Linked DNA regions of Coturnix japonica. The protein of the gene in region 3 interacts with the protein of the main gene of each other region in a pairwise test. Links are inferred from orthologs where the notes say so. Each region holds a gene or a part of one and is shown on either strand. Other genes may lie near its edges.

Region 1 (2,389 bases), on a different chromosome or scaffold from region 3:
TTTGTTGTGTACTTTGGGTTTTCTACCAGGTCCAGTCCTTTATGGCTGCCAAGACTTATCTCAGGCCTCGAGCTGTTAGCTCTTGCTCTCTGTAGGGCTGTTCTCCCAGGTCCTGTTGATTTGTCGTATTACTGGCTTTCTGACAAACTGTCTCCTGCCGTCTTTATTTGCAGGCTAATGGAAGTGCTAAGAAAGCTGGTGGGGACTATAAGGCTACTTCCCCCACCCTCCCTGCTTCTAAGATCCCTGCCTTTTCTCCCACTTCTGGGAAAAGCAGCTCTGCCCCCGCTCCCAGCAGTGACGGCCCTAACCCCCTTACCCCATCCGCAAAGCCCTCCGTGCCCCCCTCTGGCCTCCTCGGGCCCCAGGCAGGCCGCATGGCGTACTCGGCCTCCCTGATCCCCTCTGTCGCTAATGGCTCCTCCAAGTTCCAGAGCCCACCCTACGCCGCGAAGGGCCACCAGCTCTCCTTCTCGCTGCAGACTCAGAACGGCCGCCCGCCCCCTCCTTCCTCCTCCACCTCCCCCCCATCCTCCACCTCTCCCACCTCACTGAACCAAGGTGTGAAGAGCATCAGGACCATCCACACTCCCAGCTTCACCAGCTACAAGGCGCAGAATGGAAATGCCGGCAAGTCCGCCTCCCCCGCGGCCAAGGAGCCGGCCTAGAGGCTGCGTGCTGGATTGCCACTCCTTCCCTGCAGCCACTGTTCTAACCAGGGAGCATAACCATTTTGCTGTATCGCTGGAGGCTTAATACTAACCATGTGCTAAATACTGAGTTACTACACTAGAGTAGAGTGAAGCTTTTTTGTAAACCTGTTGCTGTTGTCATGATAGAAGAGCGTTTTCCCTCTGTAGGCAGCACCTCATGGTGGTGGTGTGTGGGTGTGAGCCGGGCGCTGAGCATGGCTACACGTGTGGCTGGCGTTTAGTAAGAGGTTTTGTATAAAGCTATTTTTCATTACGGGGACTAGACATGAACAGAGATAGATATACTGCAGTGTGATTATACACAACTGTAAAACTGAAATATTCCTCTTTTATTTTGGTGTTATTTAGCTTTGTTACAGATTTCTATTTTTGTCAACCAATGCCACGGTTCGTTTCGAGATCTTTTTGCCAAAATATTTTGATATTATCCTATAATGTACATTTGAAAGCAGTATGCTGGACAGTAAACCTCTGCACCACAGACAGACAGAACAAGACTGGTCTCAGTGCACAGGAGGCAACTCAACCTATTGCACTGCCGTTCAGAGTCTATTTAAGAATTCACCAAGCAGAGAAAAAAACCCACAAATAATAGTTTGACACACACAGGGAGTTGCCGATGATTATTTTCTTTCTTTCTGAGCTAAATTCACCCTCCTCCTTCAGCTTTCTTTTACTGGGACCTGGTAACCCATCGATGTACTGCATTGTGGATTTTAAAATGTACACTTCTGTACTGTTCTGTATACTGGCAAACTTTTTGTACATACCTATAAATAGATATAAATAAATAAATGCTGTATGTGGCTGGGCACTTGGCGTAGTTTGACCACACCAAAGTTAATTTTTATGCATGCTTTCAAAATATCTATGGGGCAGGGCTGAAACAGGTGGGTCACGGTCACACAGGAGGAAAAGCAGCAAGTTTGCAGAGCTCATGGTTTTGTAAATAAATTTATTGTATAACAAACACCCTGATGTAATATACAGAACTATGATAAGCAAAGATCTTTACAGAAATAAAGGGCTGCATGCTTATGTTTTCTACTTTGTCACTAATATTTTTTCTGGTGGTCACAAGCAGGGCTGTTTGTTTGCCTTAAAGAAAGAGGGAAACTACCAGGAAAAAAACAAAAACAAAAACAAAAACAAAAAAAAAACCGCTACCCTGATTTTCCCCAGGTTAAAGCCATAAGTAAGGATCAGTTTCAAAATGGAGTCTTTTTAATTAACTCAGACAAGAGTGAATTGCTTGGCTGCCGGGTTGGTTAAAAAGGCAGCAAGAAAAAAGGGGAGCACCAGAGTCTTGGGACTGATGAAATGAGGGATGGTCTGACCTCCCTGCTCTGCTTTGTTCCTTACAGGGGAGCAAGAGTTTTCTTGAAACTCATTTCAAGGCTGAGCCCTCAGAGGGTGCATCCCTTGCAGTGGAAACAACTCAGTATGCAAACATCAACTCGTACCTCACTGACAGGAACAGACTCGTGTTCTGGCAGTGCTTGTGCTGGTCCCCTGTGAAGGGGACATTTCTGCAGGCTGAGAGCCCAGCACTGTCCAGGAGCTGCAAAGCCAAATCGAAGCGCAGCACAACTCACAGCACTCTGAGTGTGGTGCTGGGCTCCAGCCATCTCCCAGCCTCTGCAGGACAGCTGTGGGCCCAAATCCATCTGACTCCC
Region 2 (3,757 bases), on a different chromosome or scaffold from region 3:
ATTGCACCCTGTCCACCCCATCCCATCCCATCCCATCCCATCCCATCCCACACCATCCCATCCCACACCATCCCACTCTGACTGCCAGGAGACGTTTTGTTCTCCTCATCCTGAAGCACCAAAACCCACTGATTTCTTCCCCATACACAATCCTACATCAACACCTACTCCCCAAGCACCCCACTCTCTGACACCAGGCCACTTAAAGCTCAGTTCCTGCACAGGGCTAAAGCAGCTTTGGAGCTGTGATGGTGTGAATGGCTCAGTTCTCATCCCAGCAAGGAGAAAAGGCCGCTGTACCTCCCAGCAGCCCCAGGCACACAGCCTGCCCTCCATCATTCAGCACATCCAGTGCTCTGATTCTCGCTCAAACTCCATCACATGCCAAGATACTGACACGGAGACAGGAAGCCGAACATAAACACGCCGCCTGCTTTACTGAACATTCAGAGAAACAAAGCTAAAAATATGGATTTCTCGGAGTCTCTGGACAGAGGGAAAAGAGAAAGAGCTGTACCGGAGCTCCGAGGGCTTCTGCCATTCCCTCTGCTCTTTGCAGTGTTCTCATCAGCAGCACAGAGTGAAAGCTTTCCCTTCACAACACAAGGACTTTCTGGTCTCCCTCCCTTCCATAGCCCTCACAGCTTATTGTGGAGAACAGAAATAAGGGGTTTTCAGAGGGGACCACAGTGCTGAGCGCTGTACGAACACTCAGGTCTGGAAAAAACTGGGTCTCATTGTGTAACATGACAAAACGCAGCAAACAGCTGCAGGATCCCAGCAGTGATTAACTCGGAGCAAATCCCGAGAGCCACCAAACATCTGCAGCTTCAATTTCCCAAGAAATGGCAAGTCTGCAACTACTTCCCAGAGCTGGGGAACTCGCTTTCTGCTTTCATTAAAGCCAATGAATGCTTTACTACTGATCCCTATCTCGGCCCTTCACAGCAAGCACCTTCCTTCTGCCCCCAGAAGATGGCTCATGCCATAACCTTTGCTCCAGCACAGGGATGAAGCGAGAAAGCTGGTGGTGAGGATTTCTGGGGCCACACCAAGAGCTTCCAGAGCAATAAGAGTTTGCTTTTGTAACACAGCCTCATCAGAAGATGCCATATCAGGACCTGGGCAGGAAACTTGTTCCAATGTGGAAGAGCTGCGGTGCGGGGCAGCTCCCCGGTGGGCTCCGTGTTTCCAGAGCTATGGTGGGCCTGCATCTCCCACAGCTCCACGGCACACAGCAGCTTCTCATGGGCTGGGCTGAAATATTCTGAACATCCCGAGGAACGCAGCGTGAGAAATGGACTTTCAGTGCTCATGAGAGTAAAGCTGCCTACACAGCCACACAGTATCTGAAACAAAGTACCTGAAACACAACACAACTTGCTTTAACCTACGATGAGATGGAGAGATGGTTCCAAGCACTGCAGGAGCCCTCAGTGCCTCTCTTAACACCAATGCTTTGATAGCAGGTAAATCACAGAATGGCCTGGGTTGAAAAGGACCACGATGATCATCCCGTTTCAACCCCCCGCTATGCACAAGGTCACCTCTCACAAACCAAAGTGGTCCCATTGCTGTGCCATGACACGGCTCCGGGCTCACCAGCTGCTGCCCATTAGAATTCATTTGCCACTTTGGCACTCGATTAAGGATAGCCTAAATTACCGCCATACATCCAACGCAAGGCTGAAATACGGGATTGGGAAGTCATTAACTACATCCTAATCCCTTAATCGCATTCGGTGGTACCGCAGCAGCACAACATCGTACCGCCACCCCATTACTTACTCACCTCATTTTACTTCTAAACGAATTCCCAACCAAGACAGACTCAAACCAGCCCCTTACGGCCGCCCCGCAGCCCGCACAGTGTCCGGCCGACCAAGCGCCCCTCGCTCGGTGCCGGGTGCTGTCGGCGCTCACCCCCTCGTGCCGCTGCCCCCATCTCAGGGCCCGGCCACGGCCTCGCGCAGCTCCAGGGCCGCGCTCCGGTTCCGGGCACCGCACGACACGACACCGGGTCGAGGCCGAGGCCGCGTCCCCGCAGCGCCACGTGCCGGCCCGCACAGCCCCGCAGGCCGCGAGGCGCTGCCCGGCGGGAGCGGCCCTCTCCCTCCGCCGAGATGGAGCGGCCGCCGCCCGGCGGGGCTCGGCCCGAACCGCCGGGATCTGCCCGCCGGGGAGGCCCCGCTGCCCGCACAGCCCGGCGCTCAGCCCGCCGCCCCTCGGCCCGTCCCGCCCCGCAACCCCGGAACGGCGCAACCGGGGGAAAGCCGGGAGAAATGAGATACAAAAAGAACCGGCCCGACAGCGGCCGGACGGCTCCGAACTCGGCCCCGAGCGCCGCGACCACCGCCGCCCGTTCCGGGCCCACCCCCCGCCCGGCCCGCAGCCCCCGGCCCGCACTCACCGCCGCCGCCCGCTGCCGTCTCCAGGGGCGACCGCCCCGCGCTCCGCCCTCCTCCTCCTCCTCCTCCTCCTCCTCCTCCTCCTCCGCCCGCTCTCGCCCCGCCCGGCCCCGACCCGACCCAACCCGGCCCGGCGGCCCCCGGAGGCCTCGTGCTGCCGGCCCGGCCCTGCGCCGCCACGGGGCCCTGCCGAGCGGCGGGTCCTGGTGGCCCTCGTGTCTCAGGAAGGAGCGCTGTAGCCTCCTCCTCCCGCCTCCCCCTTTGTCCCGTAGCGGTGCTGTCCGAGGGGCGATGCTCCTGGGGGCAGAGCTGCCGCTGTGCCCGAGGGCGGCCGGGCTGGGTGCGGGCAGCAATGGCTTCGTGTAACGAGCCGCACCGCGCGGCTGAGCAGGGCTCACAGCCCGGGATGTGGCACCCAGGGAGGTGGGCATGGGCTGGGATGGGAGCTGGGAGCTCCAACCAGCATGGTGGTAATGTGGTTCAGTTCAAACTTCAGAGTAGTGCTGTAAGATGGATAATCCTGGTTGCAGAAGCGCTGAGCAGGAGCGCGCTCAGTGTTATAAACTTACACAGTGCCCACAGTCGATGAGAGCAGGATGGGAGGGGACGAATGGACAATGCCCCCAAACCACGGCAGGCCACGGCGGGCTGCAGTGGAAGCTCATCTGCACACACCCGTCCCTGGCTCCTCCGTGATTCCATCGCCAGCGCAGCCCCACGGGGCTCCAGCGCTGCCGTGTTGCGTCACAGATCCGGTCTCTCCGGTTCCCCCGGTGTGTCCCGGTGCTGCTCGGAGCTTTGCATGTGATTTACATCAGCGCTGCAGCGTGGCAGGCCTGGCTGCTGTCAGGGCTCGTCCTGCATCCCGTCCTGCTGCAGCTTGCACGGGGTGTTGCTGCAGCCCGGAGCTGCTGCAGTTTGCAGTCAGGCCCAGCAGCCTGCAGTGAGCTCAGGGGGGCTGGGATTGTGCCAGGACGACTTTGTGACGTTTGAGGAGCACACAAACAGCTGAGGCTCCATTCGTGCCCTGTGCTCCCCCTCTGCCCATTTTTAGCACTGTTTCTCATTATCACCACGGTTCTTCAGACTTCTGACGATGACAAGAACCCCAGCTTTACACGGTGCTTTTTTTCCCCCCATGTTAGTGTAGAAGTGGCTGATTTTGTTTGGAGTCAGCTGTTTTTTGAAGGCCGCCGTTTGAATTGTGATGTAAAAAAGCCAGAGGGGGGAAAATGACACAGAGAACTACGGCAAGGAACGGAACTTTGGGAATCGCTACTTAGAAAGGAAGTTTTGCTCCATCTCCACCAGCGGCTCCCAGGAAGCAACGCCCTCTCGTGGGCTCCAGC
Region 3 (3,198 bases):
AAAAGGTGTACTGGGTTTGTACTATGCATAACATGGCCATGTTCCTTGAAGTATGCTTTGGGAAGATGGTTATCATCCAATGACTTATTTCCTCTTAATTTTATTGCCTTTGTAGCACGTATGTAGTAGAAATGATGCTATAGGAGAGGATGCTACCTATCACAATACAATAATAAAATTCAAGCAAATCCTAATGTAGAAGTTAAACTTGTGACTTTCACAAAGATCAGTGTTGTTTTAATTGTTTTAACCTTGGTTGCTGAAAAGAGTATTTTGATTTTGAGTTTAGAGCCTATGGACATGCCTTAATCAGCTGAAATCGAATCAATATTTTCACACAGTTTAGTTTTGCTAATAACTCTCCCAGTGACTGCAATTAGAAGACTGATGTATCAGAAAGGCCTGTGTGAGGATTGCTTAGTGCCACAATTTCCTAGCAAGTTGGGTGTGCAAAAAAGGTTTGTGTTTGTATGGCTCTTACATTGTGTTTTGAAAGACTGTGAAAGCATCTTATTTGTAAATATCCATCATGTAAATGCAGTTAAATCACGATAACAGTTTTGTTTTAATTGACTTTTATTTTTAAAAATACAATGTGCAGTGTAACGTTGACTAAATGTAATACTGACACTGTCGATCAGAACTGTACTTCACACAATGATCAGCTAGTCATGCAATAAAATGTGTACCTGTTATGAAGCACTCCCACTTCAACTGTTTTATCATTGTCTCTTTGACATTGCACAAATCCTTGTACTTTAAAAAACATCCTCTACGTCTGTAGTCTTTCTACATACTTGACAGCACATGCTAGACACATAACTCAAGAACACTGAGGTGAGACCACAGCCTTATTGAAATTGAATGCTGTTTGCCACTGATTTCAATAGGCTAGGGACTTCACCCTGAATATCCATCTATGAATTTATTGCCTGTGGCCACTGTAATCCTTGAACTGTATCACTTGCTCATAACTTAAATCAAATGTTTAAACTGGAATATTTAGTGGAGGAAAAAAAAAAAGTGTATTATGTCAGTAACACCCAAATGGCTTTACAGCTCAGGTTTTGCATTAGTTTTGGTTAGCTATAGAAACCTTAAACACCGTCCCTGCTATAGTAGTGTTTCCAAAGTTGTTTTCCCTCTATACTTGTAGGGTTTGAAATTCATAAGAAGGTTAAGTGATGTTAATAGTACAGCAAAACACAGAAGGGCAAAGCTAGTTTTGTGTGTTTCAGGTTATAAACTGCAAGCACAGCATTCTTCCTCTCTTCCCTGTTTCTTATTCTGAGTTTTAGATATCCTTTCCACATTCAGGGCAGAGGATGTCATCCCTTTCTGTAAGGAAGCCACGACCTACTAGTGAGAGAGAACACTTCTTACAATTAAAGCAATCATTGTGCCACTGCCGCTCTTCGAATGAGATGTACTTGGTTCCTCCGAGACCTGTTTGAAAACAGAAGATCTGTTATCAGAAGAGAAGAGCCATTACATGGTGCTACTTCAGATTCTACTTCTGGATGGCTGTGGGCATCTGACATTGTAGTGAGAAAATACTGTTGTATCAAATATTTTTCTGTTTGTTGCTATGTAAATATTGTCACCTTATTCTTGAACAAGTAGGGTTTTCATCGTTAAGTAGTTCTGCTGCTTTTATAGCTGAGTTAGCTGAGTTAACAGGAGAGAGAATGGTTCGGAATCAACTCAGATCTGCAGTCTTGGTGTTAAATGCTGATTAATTCAGATATGGGATTTTTTTTTTAAGAGTATTTCAAATGTAGAGAATAACTGCTTACAGCTTTAGAGTACTGTTATACTGGAAAGCAGTATGTAAAAGCATTGAGATTCTCAGTCACTGTCCTGAAAAATCAGGGAAGAAATATGCTGCAGTGTTAGGTGTACGCTGGTTAAATGTTGCTGGCTGAGAGACTTTTGTTACTGAAGTCAGTGTTCCCCCTCATGAGCACAAATGACTTAAAGGACATGGCTGCATCCCACCACATGCATAAATGTCACTGTGTGTCCACTGTGTTTCATACAAGTCAGGTGAAATGGAATAAACTTCAGTTTAAGGACTTCTTTCACGTCTTTTTGTTATGCACTTGGATGGCATCATAAGTATTTAAGTTCACGGTTCCTGAACTGTGTAGTATCTCTGTTCTCTCAAGCTAGTAAGAATGAATTGCTGAACCCTTATTAATATTAGATGCAGTTCAATGGAGAAAACAAAAATAAAGTGACTCGCCATGAGAGACCTACCACTGATTGGGTTTGTGCATCCAGCACACTTCTTGGCGTAGAGATTGCAGAAGCAATTCAGGCAATATGCAAACTCATCCCGGGAGGTAAAGCGTTGCCCAGACAGCTGAGTTTTACATCCGGTACACACAAAGCACTCCTTATGCCAAGGCTGCTCCCGGTAAGTCACACCTCCTGTAGTGATAGCCTGTTTGATGGAAAGTAAGACAGAAAGTGTTTTTTCTGAGAGTGGCAGATTTTCATCTTCATTTGGTAGAGAGGAAGGTTGATGAGGTTTTTGTGGGTAGGAGGAGGGAAAGAAGACTGATCATGTTATTTGGATTTAACCTTGAGAAGAGCCTGCAAGTGATTCATTGTAATTTCCCAATTTATACAGAGGAGGCCTATACTAAAGATACTTTATTTTCTGAATTCTTTATAAATTTTTTTATTTATAAATTACCCTCTTTATTTTTAAAACTGGACTTTGTAGGTCATTTTTCCATATTCATGTGCTATGAGGTGTACATCTCTGCTTGTTCACCCGTCCCATTCTTCATAATGGAAAAGCCACCTTCAATTCCTGCTAATTCCTTTGACAGCAACTGCTTTATTTCAAATTTTACCTGAAATCTTTGCTGTCTGCTTCTATGGAATTTGGGCTTTTTCCTCTTATGGGATGATGTTCTCTGATGTTAGACAAAGGAAACGTTTCTTGGTCTTGTAACTGTTCTGAGAAAGCTTTAAAATAAATCCGTTTAATTTTTCTTCCTGTCTTCGCTAAAGGGGGATTCCCTGGGAAGTCAGTCTTGTGGTGTGCTGTCTAATATGTGTATTCATCTGTCTTTACCTCTTTCCTCTGTATGAGGGCTGCTGTGAAAGTAATGCGAACTGGGGCACGTGGTGAACACAAAAGGAAGTTCTGGTAATCATAGAATCACAAGGTTGGAAAGGACCTAT

Evidence for each region.
Region 1: the proteins of FHL2 (region 3) and KIAA1217 interact in binary tests that used the Homo sapiens proteins (3 or more experiments, as listed by UniProt). The two-hybrid records come from large-scale screens. The link is inferred for Coturnix japonica from reciprocal best matches to the Homo sapiens genes FHL2 and KIAA1217.
Region 2: the proteins of FHL2 (region 3) and GNG12 interact in binary tests that used the Homo sapiens proteins (3 or more experiments, as listed by UniProt). The link is inferred for Coturnix japonica from reciprocal best matches to the Homo sapiens genes FHL2 and GNG12.

What each region holds. Positions count from the first base shown.
Region 1 is NC_029517.1:15,320,103-15,322,491, reverse strand, and holds the end of KIAA1217 (sickle tail protein homolog), read left to right. Parts: intron 1-173; coding exon 174-668; 3' UTR 669-1,760; downstream 1,761-2,389. UniProt on the Homo sapiens protein: Required for normal development of intervertebral disks.
Region 2 is NC_029523.1:25,873,648-25,877,404, forward strand, and holds the start of GNG12 (guanine nucleotide-binding protein G(I)/G(S)/G(O) subunit gamma-12), read right to left. Parts: upstream 2,466-3,757; 5' UTR 2,411-2,465; intron 2,311-2,410; exon of another isoform or gene 2,292-2,310; intron 1,944-2,291; exon of another isoform or gene 1,924-1,943; intron 1,814-1,923; exon of another isoform or gene 1,793-1,813; intron 1-1,792. UniProt on the Homo sapiens protein: Guanine nucleotide-binding proteins (G proteins) are involved as a modulator or transducer in various transmembrane signaling systems.
Region 3 is NC_029516.1:121,878,729-121,881,926, forward strand, and holds the end of FHL2 (four and a half LIM domains protein 2), read right to left. Parts: intron 2,447-3,198; coding exon 2,260-2,446; intron 1,447-2,259; coding exon 1,295-1,446; 3' UTR 559-1,294; downstream 1-558. UniProt on the Homo sapiens protein: May function as a molecular transmitter linking various signaling pathways to transcriptional regulation. Negatively regulates the transcriptional repressor E4F1 and may function in cell growth.